Arabidopsis thaliana: one gene and its partner. The protein of the gene in region 1 interacts with the protein of each later gene in a pairwise test. Each region holds a gene or a part of one and is shown in the gene's direction. Other genes may lie near its edges.

Evidence for each region.
Region 2: the proteins of ABH1 (region 1) and CBP20 interact in binary tests that used the Arabidopsis thaliana proteins (3 or more experiments, as listed by UniProt).

The regions. Positions count from the first base shown.
Region 1 is NC_003071.7:5,635,109-5,642,944, forward strand, and holds the start of ABH1 (ARM repeat superfamily protein), read left to right. Parts: upstream 1-1,775; 5' UTR 1,776-1,944; coding exon 1,945-2,028; intron 2,029-2,112; coding exon 2,113-2,172; intron 2,173-2,271; coding exon 2,272-2,328; intron 2,329-2,813; coding exon 2,814-2,885; intron 2,886-2,993; coding exon 2,994-3,056; intron 3,057-3,229; coding exon 3,230-3,406; intron 3,407-3,590; coding exon 3,591-3,719; intron 3,720-3,942; coding exon 3,943-4,009; intron 4,010-4,188; coding exon 4,189-4,388; intron 4,389-4,603; coding exon 4,604-4,674; intron 4,675-5,136; coding exon 5,137-5,221; intron 5,222-5,367; coding exon 5,368-5,436; intron 5,437-5,527; coding exon 5,528-5,646; intron 5,647-5,953; coding exon 5,954-6,092; intron 6,093-6,293; coding exon 6,294-6,794; intron 6,795-6,884; coding exon 6,885-7,184; intron 7,185-7,268; coding exon 7,269-7,514; intron 7,515-7,597; coding exon 7,598-7,705; 3' UTR 7,706-7,836. UniProt on the Arabidopsis thaliana protein: Component of the cap-binding complex (CBC), which binds cotranscriptionally to the 5'-cap of pre-mRNAs and is involved in various processes such as pre-mRNA splicing and RNA-mediated gene silencing (RNAi) by microRNAs (miRNAs).
Region 2 is NC_003076.8:17,801,074-17,806,144, reverse strand, and holds CBP20 (CAP-binding protein 20), read left to right. Parts: upstream 1-1,941; 5' UTR 1,942-2,149; exon of another isoform or gene 2,150-2,244; 5' UTR 2,245-2,269; coding exon 2,270-2,287; intron 2,288-2,493; coding exon 2,494-2,717; intron 2,718-2,801; coding exon 2,802-2,940; intron 2,941-3,028; coding exon 3,029-3,062; intron 3,063-3,196; coding exon 3,197-3,307; intron 3,308-3,642; coding exon 3,643-3,708; intron 3,709-3,796; coding exon 3,797-3,903; intron 3,904-4,008; coding exon 4,009-4,083; 3' UTR 4,084-4,408; downstream 4,409-5,071.

The DNA.
Region 1 (7,836 bases):
GAACACTGAAGATCCAAAAGATGTTTATCATCAAAAAGAATCTCAATGTCCAAATGGCTTTTCCAAAAGATTGCTAAGCCACCACTTCTCCCTTGAGGTTCTATTGTATACATATAGTTATAACCAAGCCAATCAATAACTTTTGAAACAAACTCGTCAGGATTCATAGTCTCCATGAAGAATAAAATGTCCGAGATATGATTTTTTTTCATCTCCTTAAGGTGTCGAATTGTCCAAGGATTCCTCAAGCCTTGACAATTCCAACTAAGGACGCCTTACTGATCCAACGGTGGTTCACTTGGAACCACCGTATTCTTGTCTCTCTTGAAACTTTGAGCTTCTGTAATGTCTGAGGGTTTTCTTTTCCTTTTGAACACCTTTTCAAAATGAGGAGAGGCAGGAGACTGAATAACCTTATTCTTCAGAGACAGCTCATTAACTAGTTTTTCTTTCCTGAACTGAAAAGGAGTGAAATCCTGCATTATATGATGTTTAAACCCTGAAGTGGAGGAACTAGCCTCACCAACACATGTGGTAAATCCAGTACTAATGTCCAAATCTAGCATCTCAGCTAACAAAGTATTCTCTGGATGACTATCAATTGCAACAGTAGCTGATAGAGGATTTGCTGGCAAAGCATCTACCCTTCCTTTGGGAGCAATTGACTGAAAGGGAAACTCAGCCAGCCTCGGTAAAAACATCTTCTTCTGTTTGCCTTTCTCTTGTAATGATCTCACATCATGTTTGATGGAATCTAAGACTTTGGATGGGCATCTATTTTTATCATGAGTTAATCTTTGACACAAGAAACATCTCTTTCTAATCTGTTCATAGTCAAAAGAAATTGTGACAACTTCACCAGATGGAAGTTGTACCTCTTTATTGTTACGAAGTGGATTGGCGACATGAAACAAAACCCGAACACGAACATAGTCCTGAAACTGTGATTTTTCAGAGTCCATCACCACCTCCTTCACTTCCCCAATACAGCTCGTGATCTCTTTAATTGTGTCCTGAGTATAATAGTTCACCGAAATATTCCTCACTCGACCCCAGATTGGAAGAAAATTCAGATAATCAATTGGAGGATTCTCAATCCATCTATCCATGACTACACCCCAATTTATCTTCTGTCCAAACTCCAATTTTCATAATTTCTTCTAAATCTTCCTCAGATTTGAAGAAAAATTGGAATCGATCCTTTGAGAGAGCAACACCTCTAACCCGAGAAGAAATTCTCCAAATTCGTGGCATATCTAATATCCAATTAGACATCCTTTGATTCTCTAGATTCAAAAACCTACCCAACTAACGACAGTTGTTTCTGTTAATTGAACAAAAGCGCGGTTGATCAGAAAGAATCAGAGGCTTATTGTCTTAAATCGACATATTCTGAATGGCTTTATCCAGCTCCATGATGAGATCCTGATAGAGAGTAAACAACTTTCCCGAACTCGTCAAACCTGATTTGCAGGAAACAAACTCCAAGAGAAAAAACAGTGAAGAAATCCGAGTAATTCAGATGATAACCAACACAGAACTGAGAATCACAAAGCAAACTCTCGTAACAGAGAAAGAGTCAGAACTACCAAAAATCCGAGGAAGAAAACAACAATTTAGACCGGACCGAACACGTAAATATTTCTGGTAGAAGCTCCGTTCAGAATAGAACACCTGAGAGAAAAGTCTTTAGGCTCCAAATTAACTGGGACGACTATTGTTTTAACGGCTAGTTTCAGCTACTAAGAGAAAGAAGAGAGAGAAAAACTTTTTGTCAAACTCTTTTTGTGAACTCCTTTTCTTAGATGACAACACTTATGAGAAAAAAAAAAAAAAATTAGTTTTGACGAGACACGGACATAAAAAAAAAAACTAGGGCAGAGTGACTGATACCAAAGGAGAAACAACAAAGAGACGAACTGAAGAAAAACCTCTCGGAAGAAGATGAGCAATTGGAAAACTCTTCTCCTTCGCATCGGCGAAAAGGGACCTGAGTACGGCACTTCCTCCGACTACAAAGACCACATCGTCAGTATCTCTCTCTCGATTCATCCTCGCTCTTAAACCCTAATTTTCTCACTACTCAAAACTTTTCCGATTCTCTATATACAGGAGACTTGTTTCGGTGTCATTCGTAGAGAAATCGAGCGTTCTGGAGATCAAGTTTTGCCTGTAAGTGACTTCGAGCCTTCAATTTTAGGATCTGTTGTGATGTATCTCTGTGGATATTATTATTGTGTGTTCTCATTATTTTTGTTTTCGTCTTAACAGTTTCTACTACAATGTGCTGAACAATTGCCTCATAAGATTCCTTTGTATGGGACTTTGGTAAGTCTCTTATAAACTAGTTACCTTGGCTTTTTCATTTCTGGGTATGTGTTGGATGTTGGGCTTGCATTTAGATGTGTTATATATGTGGAGGTTTTGATTGAGTATGTTATGGTATCTGTGAACTGATTCTTATCGAAGAATAATTAGCTCGAAGCAATAACGGAAGGCATTTAACTTGAAACAAATGAACACTTCAGAAACACAAATAATAGTGGAAATGCCCTTAAGGTGGATCATTTTGTGTCTATTATATCATATATAACATGTTGTAGGAATCTATTTATTCATAGTATTCATCAATATTTGCTAACTTCTGAGTAATAAAGAATGCTTGAATATTTTCTGTGTATAATTCTTATCTGTGTAAGTAGCATTTGGATCTATTTTTGAACTGAGATACCCTGTTCCCTGTTATAAATTAGTTCGATTTAATCTGATACACATACTTCGAAGTTTGATGGATGTCTTTCCACATGTTTAAGATTGGTTTGTTGAACTTGGAGAATGAAGATTTTGTCCAGAAGCTAGTAGAAAGTGTCCACGCTAATTTCCAGGTGAATAATCTAATCTGTACATCAAAGGCCAAGGATAAATTGATAACATAAGTTTTCTCAGTTACTTTTGTTTCTAATGTGACTGTTTTTCTTGGTCAAACATGCCAGGTCGCTTTAGATTCTGGCAACTGCAACAGTATCCGTATATTGCTTCGCTTTATGACTTCCCTGGTATGGTTGCTAATCATGTTTCATGGTTGCTTCGTCTATTTAATATGTTAGTTCATGTTTCTAATACACAGAAAGCGTCTAAAAAATAAAAGTGCGAAGTATATAGAACAGTATTTGTGAAAATTTTGAGATGTTTTGTCTATTTTCTAACATGTTTTAGTTGGGTTCTTTAGTTGTGCAGTAAGGTTATTCAACCTGCTTCTTTGATTGTCGTCTTCGAAACATTGCTATCATCTGCTGCCACTACTGTGGATGAAGAGAAAGGAAATCCATCATGGCAGCCACAAGCTGACTTTTACGTTATATGCATCTTGTCCAGCCTCCCGTGGGGAGGATCAGAACTCGCTGAGGTACTGCTCTTGGACTAAATACATTCTAGAAATTATTTACATTGAAGGCTATTAGAATACTGGATATGCGTTTCCAATTTTATAATGATGTCATCCTTGTTGGATCTGCAACCAACTTTGTTAGTCTGCTTTCATATCTATTATCTTAACTTGTATGGCCGCTGAATTTCCCTTTGGTTTGCAGCAAGTTCCTGATGAGATTGAAAGAGTGTTAGTTGGGATACAAGCTTATTTGAGCATCCGAAAGAATTCTTCCACCTCTGGGTTAAACTTTTTTCACAACGGAGAATTTGAAAGCAGCCTTGCAGAGAAGGTTTGCCTTTTAGTGTTTAATTCTTGAAGTTGTTGTATTTGCTTTGTGTTAGCTGCCCCTCTGATTTTGTTTCGGTAGATGTCTTGGCAAATGTATAAATAAGATGCATGGATGTGACGTTTCATTTCTGCTTTTGTTTGAGATAGATATCTGTTGAATTTTGTATCATGGTGTGATAACTTTTGGTCTGCGTCATTCGTCTTTCTCATTTGTGTCTCGTTAGGATTTCGTGGAGGATCTATTGGATCGAATTCAGTCTCTGGCTTCCAATGGATGGAAACTTGAAAGCGGTATGCTTATTTTGTCAACTTCTCATATCTCTTTGTATTACAAGATTGCAATCTTCTACGAACCCTCTCTTTTAATATCCTTATCTACCTTGTTTGACTTACAAATTGATCAGTTCATATGACTAGAGATATTAGTTGTATATTACAATTGACAATTTCATGCATATTCAATGTGCTAGTACCTAGGCCTCATCTCTCGTTTGAAGCTCAACTCGTTGCTGGAAAGTTTCATGAGCTACGTCCCATTAAATGTATGGAACAACCGAGTCCACCTTCTGATCATTCGAGGGCATACAGTGGCAAGCAAAAGCATGATGCATTGACGAGATATCCCCAGAGAATTCGTAGGTTGAATATATTTCCAGCTAATAAAATGGAGGTAATATTCTGGTTTTTGATGTCATTGTTTATCTGAATAGGACATATTTCATGCTAATGGAAGCTTATTATACTTGCTACCTTTTCAGTCGTCAACATTTTTCTTTTTTCTAACCTATTATATTTGTAGATTGATATATGGGTTATATGGTGTCCTTTTGTATTCCTTTTCTTTGTCTACCCTTTCTTCTGATTCTGTAACTATCAAACTCGCAGGATGTACAACCAATTGATCGTTTTGTCGTGGAGGAGTATTTGCTGGATGTGCTCTTCTATTTGAATGGATGGTGTGTATTTTCCCAAAGCTTGTGTTCTTTTGACGTTTTTGTATGTTTCTTCTATATTTTTCTTGCACAGTGGTCGTCCATTCATGCTGGTTTTGGTGTAGATCTTGGTTTTTGTCCCCCAACCATAGCAAATTAGTCACGTGTTTTCTAAATTATTAACCTTAGAGTATGGTGTATTAATCTAAGTTCATGACTTACTCTTTGAATAATATGGTCACTGATTCAGCTGGGCGACTAATTGGCTACTACTAAGGGCTAGTGTTTTTGCGTTGAGTATCTAGTTGAACCTAGCATATACTTATTTAAGTCATTATTATGGTTGTAGACTTGCCTAGCATATACATGTTTTCTAATCAACATCTTAGCTTATGCTAAGTCTCTTTCTTTCTGGTTACTAAATTTTGTTTGCCTTCTTAAATTATATAGAATTTTGTTTCACTAATTAATTTATTGCAAAGCTAGTCGGAAGGAGTGTGCATCCTACATGGCTAATCTTCCTGTTACATTTCGGTACGAGTATCTTATGGCAGAGACACTATTTTCTCAGGTAACTTCTGTTGTATAAATTTTGGGATTATCTCTCTAGTGAGTATTCACGTTGTAATATAAAAGCATACGTTTCTGGCAGATTATACCAATTAATTCCAAGATCTGTGATTTTTAAATATAACAATTGTATCTACTGTTTTTCAGATACTGCTGCTACCCCAGCCACCATTCAAGACTCTTTATTATACACTCGTGATTATGGATCTTTGTAAGGTACAAAGGATTATACTGTTCATCCGATGGTTTTTAAATCCCTGCTGTTATTTCTTTTTTCAACCTGATTCCAAATATTCAATTAATTTAGGCTCTTCCGGGTGCCTTTCCTGCTGTTGTTGCTGGCGCTGTTCGTGCACTATTTGAGAAAATATCCGACTTAGACATGGAATCCAGGACGCGTCTTATCCTCTGGTTTTCTCACCACTTGTAAGTATATAATTTCATATTTCTTACCTCTTGATTTTTTGTAATCTGGAAAAGGTGCTTTATTGTCGAATGTTTGGTGAATGTTCCATATATGTTAGAAAGTTACCTAGCTTATAAAATATGGATTATTGAAACATAAAATATGGATTTTCAGTCAGCATTACTGACGATTCGTTTACATGATACAGTGGTCGTGTTTGAGTCTTACTTTCTCGATTAATTGAGAAATATGTTATTCATCACATGAAGTTGATTACGTATTTCGTTTTGCTCTCTACTCTCATGTTGATAACTCCATGCTTAACAGATCCAACTTCCAATTCATCTGGCCGTGGGAAGAGTGGGCTTTTGTGTTGGATCTTCCCAAGTGGGCCCCTAAGCGTGTATTTGTTCAGGAGATTTTGCAAAGAGAAGTACGCTTGTCTTACTGGGATAAAATTAAGCAGGTAACAGATCGTCAGATATCCTAATAGCTGCCAAACTTAAGCATCAGATATACTTTTCTCTTAGCCTAGGGTTATTTGTCTTATTCCATTTTGTGGGGGATCAATGTTTCATCTTGTTATCCACATGGATATATCATTCCAAACTTAAGCATCAGATATCCTTCCTCAGGCTATATTGTTTTTTCTATGTGTGTCTAACAGAGCATTGAGAATGCGACTGCCCTAGAAGAATTACTTCCTCCAAAAGCTGGTCCGAATTTTATGTATTCCTTGGAAGAAGGTAAAGAGAAAACAGAAGAACAGCAATTGTCAGCCGAATTGAGCAGGAAGGTCAAGGAAAAACAAACCGCACGTGACATGATAGTGTGGATTGAAGAAACGATATATCCAGTTCATGGTTTTGAAGTTACTCTTACAATAGTTGTACAGACCTTACTTGACATCGGATCAAAAAGTTTCACTCATTTGGTCACTGTCCTGGAGCGATATGGCCAAGTATTTTCAAAGCTTTGTCCTGATAACGATAAGCAGGTGATGCTATTATCTCAAGTGAGTACATACTGGAAAAACAATGTACAAATGACGGCGGTGGCAATTGATAGGATGATGGGTTATAGACTAGTATCTAATCAGGCAATTGTTAGATGGGTGTTCTCTCCAGAAAATGTTGATCAGTTTCATGTGTCTGATCAGCCATGGGAGGTCAGTTGCGTTTTAACAGAAGTATATTTATTTTCTACACTCTGCAGAGCAAGTTTGTTTATCTTCGTAAATCTGTTTCTGTCTCTGCAGATACTTGGCAATGCTCTTAACAAGACTTATAACCGTATCTCTGATTTGAGGAAAGATATATCAAACATTACGAAAAATGTTTTGGTTGCTGAGAAAGCTTCAGCCAATGCACGAGTAGAGTTGGAGGCTGCTGAGAGCAAACTTTCCCTAGTGGAAGGTGAACCCGTTCTTGGTGAGAATCCAGCGAAGATGAAGCGTTTAAAATCAACAGTGGAGAAGACAGGGGAAGCGGAGTTATCTCTTCGGGAGTCCCTAGAGGCAAAAGAGGCTCTTCTTAACAGAGCTCTCTCTGAGACCGAGGTATTATATATTAGTTTAATGCAGCACATGATCTTATTATTTCCTTTTATCTACTAAAAGCTAATTGAGTTGACTTGTGCATAGGTTTTACTGCTCTTGCTGTTCCAAAGTTTCTTAGGTGTACTGAAGGAACGGCTCCCAGATCCAACTAAAGTGAGATCAGTGCAGGATCTAAAATCTATAGGTGCTGAAGATGACAAGCCATCTGCGATGGACGTGGACAGCGAGAATGGAAACCCAAAGAAGAGTTGCGAAGTCGGTGAGAGAGAACAGTGGTGCTTATCAACACTTGGCTATCTCACGGCATTTACAAGGCAATATGCGAGCGAGGTAAAAAATAACTTAATAGTTGGGATGTTGTTGTAAGAGCTTTAGTAGATTGAATATTGACTTGTTTCACCATGTTCTTGTAGATATGGCCTCACATGGAGAAGTTGGAGTCAGAAGTGTTCTCGGGTGAAGATGTGCATCCTCTCTTTCTCCAAGCCATATCTTCTGCACTTCAATTCCCATTACATTAATCTTCCTCTTTCAATCTCAATCAAACCTGTCTCTTTTGTTTTTTGTTATGAGATTCTGATTCTGACATCAAGTTATTAGGAAATTGAAAAGAGTCAAAAAACAAGAGTTTAAACTTTTAACACCAGTCTTG
Region 2 (5,071 bases), on another chromosome or scaffold:
GTATCAACTTAATTATCATTATATGACATATCATATTGCAAAAAGTTTTTTCTTTTTTTTTGAATCTATTGCTAAAAGATTTTGATTTGTTATTTAGATACATGGCATACAGGTTGATACACAATTTTATTTACTTTGGGAGATTTCGTTGATTTCCTGTTTTAAGAAATCAACAACAATCAACTTTATTGATGAACATTGTTTTTTTTTTTTTTTGAATAAAATGTCAAATTATATTTAAAAGAAAAAATATACTTTTTACATCAGCTTTTTTGATATTTTGATAATAAGAGAAATAGAGCTAGATCAAAAACAGAGTAAATAGAATTGAGAGAGCAAAAACAGAGTCTTCTTTCTTAGAGGATGCTATGGACGCATGTCAAACCATACTTGCAGCCCCTTCTCGAGTCGAAGATCCCCTTTCTTTTTGATTGTCGATAGCTGGTTTCTAATAGTCTTGTCTATCTGTCGGATGAGGTTTGAAGCTGAACGTGACTTCTCTCCGTGACGACGAGAATTTCTCTCCCTCCAAATGGAATGAATAGAGACTTGGAATGTGTACCTGGATAAGAAACTTTGGATGCGATCAGGCTGAGAATCAGATATGTAATTCACCACAGCAGACCATTTTGTGGAAAATCTATCTTTGTACACATTCTTTGCGATTGATGTCCAGATTTCAGAAGAATAGCAGCATTGGATATTGATGAACATTGTTGTGTAACAGCTGTAGAGGATTTCATATATGTAATATATGTTATAGTTAACTCATTTAACTCGATAAATAAAACAAATTTAGAATTATATTAACTTTTATTGAATAAGTATTTTACTTTAACACATGAATAATGGATACGTCTAACGTTATTGTCAAATGTTAATCCACACAAAAGTCACAATTTTTTTGATCCTACAACATAACACAAAAAAAGAGAAAAAATGGTATTTGAATCCCGTTACGTTACAGATACACGTATGTATGTTAGAGTATCTTCAGTGAATCTCTCAAAAATGAGTATTGGAGTAATAAAAAGTGATCTGGAGGGAACACCATAGTAGATTATGAAGCTTCAACACAGATTTAACGAGAGCTTTAACTTCGAAAATGAGTCACCTAAACCACCGCTTACAACAACGAGAAATAACTATTTCTATGTCTCCTCAGCAAAGTTCCTTATATGATTTTCTTGTCCTTAAAGAGGTATTTTCTTAAAACATTACTTTGAAGATATCTTCATAGGCAAAAATCTAGAAATTAGAAATAAAGGATGTTTAAAAATATAAAATTTAAGGTTTGCTAATGCTGAACTGTGAAATTAAAACCAACAACCACAACAAACCAAACCGGAATATCATTTAAACCAAATTAAAACTAAAGGGCGTTCAGTATTCGGATCGAATATTTCGAGTTTGTGTATTTCAGATTTAGAAGTTTAAGACCCGTTCGGGTATTTTAAAATTTTAAACCGTTCGAGTTCAGGTTTATTTAAATATTAAAATATCAAAATTTTGTATGTAAATTTATCAAATTACTTGAAAATTTCAAAAACTCTCAAAACAACACGAATAGTTTTACTTTAATATATCCAAAGTAACCTAAAATACACAAAATAACTAAAATATCCAAATATCCAAATATTTTCTGTATTTAAGTATGAATATAAATAATATATCAAATATTTGAGGTATGTTTGGATATTTGTTCAGATCGGGTTTGGGTTAGAGTTTTTCGGGTTTTGAAGTTTAGGACCCGTTGAATATTTGAAATTTTTGGATTTGGATCAGGGTTTTCGGTCGGGTTTGGGTTGGTTCGTAGGGTTCGATTATTATGTCGAGACCTAACTAAATTGAATTACAAATTGGTTTTATGGTTTAAACAAATAAAGCGAAACCGAAATAATTGAACCGAAACCAAACCGGAATTGTTATTTGATTGAACATTTTAGATGCAAAAAATTTGGGTTTTTTATTTGTTTTAATATTAAATTAATACCAACAATAATATTTGTGAATTAATTGTAACTTTGTAAGGTTTCGTAAGGTGGGCCATGAAACCGGATACTCGAGAGTCGCCGGAGTGTCCTTGCCTTCTTCTATCAGTTCTGCTTCTGCTTTAGAAATTAGGGTTCCCTTTTTGAAGAAGACGAGTGTAAGTGTCTCTCCTTCTCGATTTCTCGCTCATCTTCTTCTTCTTTCACCCCGCATAGACCTAATTTAAGCTATCCTCCTCTCTCATCATCGCAGATTCACTTCTTCTCACCGTGAAGCGATGGCTTCTTTGTTCAAGGTACATAAAGTTTAGATTTTTATCGGAAACCATTTCTGGGTTTTGCTTTTTCTAGCATAGAAAATCGAGATTCGTTAATGTTTTTAGTGAATTTAGTATCCGGGTTGTCTGGAATCTGATGGGTCTGAAGCGATTCTAATTGATTTTTGAAGTTGTTGTCTAGGGTTTGGTCTCACGATTTCATGTTTGGGGTTTTTGATTGTCAGGAGCAAGCAAAGCTATCAGCTTATCGTGATAGAAGATTTTCAGGAACACAAGAGGAGTTTGATGAAGCGCTAAGAGCATCTACAACGGTTTACATTGGCAATGTGTCTTTTTACACTACTGAAGAACAGCTTTACGAGCTTTTCTCTAGAGCTGGAGAAATCAAAAAGATCATCATGGGTTTGGATAAGAACACTAAAACACCTTGTGGCTTTTGTTTCGTCCTGTAAGCTTTCATCTTCAACAGTTTTATATGTAAGTTTCATTATGGTGGTTGCTGAGTTTTGGTTTTGTGTCTTGTTTTTATCAGGTTCTACTCTAGAGAGGATACTGAAGATGCAGTCAAGTATATAAGTGGGACTATTCTCGATGACCGGCCTATTCGTGTGGATTTTGATTGGGGATTCCAAGAAGGAAGACAATGGGGCCGTGGTAGAAGCGGTGGCCAGGTATTCATCAGATGCATCATCCTCTCTGTAATTCCCTGACCGTTTCTTTACAATTAAAAGGTCATCATGGTTTTCTAATTTCATACAGGTTCGTGATGAATACCGTACAGATTACGATCCTGATATCCTTTTAGTCCGCATAGTTATGCACTCTGTTGTTCTTGTTTAGTATACCTGTTTTGTGGTAGGAAAGATTGATTTCTCGGTTATGAATTTCCCGCCAATCCATGTGTTTTTTCCTTAACTCATTGATTACCTAGAGGTGGTTATGGGAAATTAGTTCAGAAGGAACTCGAAGCACAAAGGCAGCTCGTGGATTACGGTACTGGCTCATTGGGAGCTTATCCTCAAGCTGCGCCAACGAATTGTATGTTTTTTTCAACTTTCTACCAAATTTACTTGATCTTATTCCTGGTTTCATGATTTCGCACTATACTGTGGACAAATGGTGAACTAAAAGTACCATGAATGCGAGTCTTAAGTTGCTTTACTTAGAATTGTAGTGCTCAGAATAAGACTCTTTATCTTGCAAAGCATCTGCTTATTGTTTTCCCAGTTCCCTTTCGAATAGATAGTGAAAATGTGAAACAAGATATGGTCCTAGTGTTAAGTATCTTATTCAAGTCAAATTATGTGAGAATCCGTAAATAGAGCCTGCAAAACACTAGATTCCTAAATGCTTTTTGCATATGTTAATCACAGATGGAAATGGAAGGCGTGGTGGTGGAAACTATGGTCAAGGAGGACAAAATCGCCATGGAAGAGGAGGTATTTTTATCCCAAATGACATAATGCGTAGTAATAGTGTAATCCTCAGCCACAATAGCACAATTCACTGTTTTTAATGTTTTTGCAGACTACCATCGGAAACGACAAAGAGACGATGATCGCTATGGCCGCGATAACTCAAGAAGAAACACAGATCATGAGTCTAGGAGAGACACTGATAGTGACATGAGACCGGTAAATAACAAGGCCTTTTTCTTTTTCCTTACTAAACGTTTCGAGTATATTTAGTATCTGATGCTAAAACACTGTCTGCTATGGAATTTTGTGTGATTGTAACAGGAGAAGAACCCACGATTCCGTGAGAGCGGTGACTCCGATGACGATGGTGAAGATGATCGGAAGAGAAGATCTTAAAACAAAACTTTAGAAGTTGTCAATGTTGCTGAATGGTCAATGTAATCTTTAGATTGATGAGTCTGAACTCAGTTTGGGTTTTCTAGATTTTCATTACAACCTTTCTTAAGTGGTTTCGTTCAATATCAGTGTCCTCATTAACTTTTGCTCCTTGATCAACTGATATGTCATTACTAGTCTATTGGGCTAAAGTAGCCGAGTGAAGGCCCTCCATAGTACTCACTAATCACTTTGTATCATTCTTTCTCATCACATTGTACGCTTCTTACATTTCTCAAAGTATTTGTCCAAATACAGCTCCTTTATGCATTAGAAGCTTCCGAAAAAGTATTATACGAACTTACATTTATCTGATGGAGAATGAGATATAGTAACTAACTAGATCACGCATAACTCCATCGAGAGCTGCTAGTGTGTCAAAGCCAAAGATACAGCTTCAATGTCTTTCAAGAGTTGAATGTATATAAATTAACGTTATTGAGCTGCGTCTGCACAATGCTCGACAAACACAATCCATCAAACATGCCACTTTCATGCCTTCTACATTCAAGAGTAATTTAAACTTCTTACCCCAAAGTAATTGTTATTAACTTATTCTGCATCATCACTTTGGCTTTTGATTGGTAATCTCTATCGCATGGTACAATATTTAATGCTTTAATAGTTTACTAAACACAAAAGTATATCTACAACTATTCTAGTATTTTTTTGTACTATTGTATTTTTTGTACCTGTATTTTTTTTACTTCTTTCAACTATTCTAGTATTTTTAAAACTTTTTCCGCTTTTTTGTTTTTACCATTTTGTGTCACCAATCGAATCCGTTTGAATTAAGTTTTTTACATGGAACCAATTAAAAGAATATTCGTATATCTAAACTCCAATTATGTGTTGTACTTTTTTTTTTTTTTTGCCACGATATGTTAACATTATCAATTGCAAATTTTTTTATGGACTTTAATTGAGTTTTAAAAATATTTGACTTCTT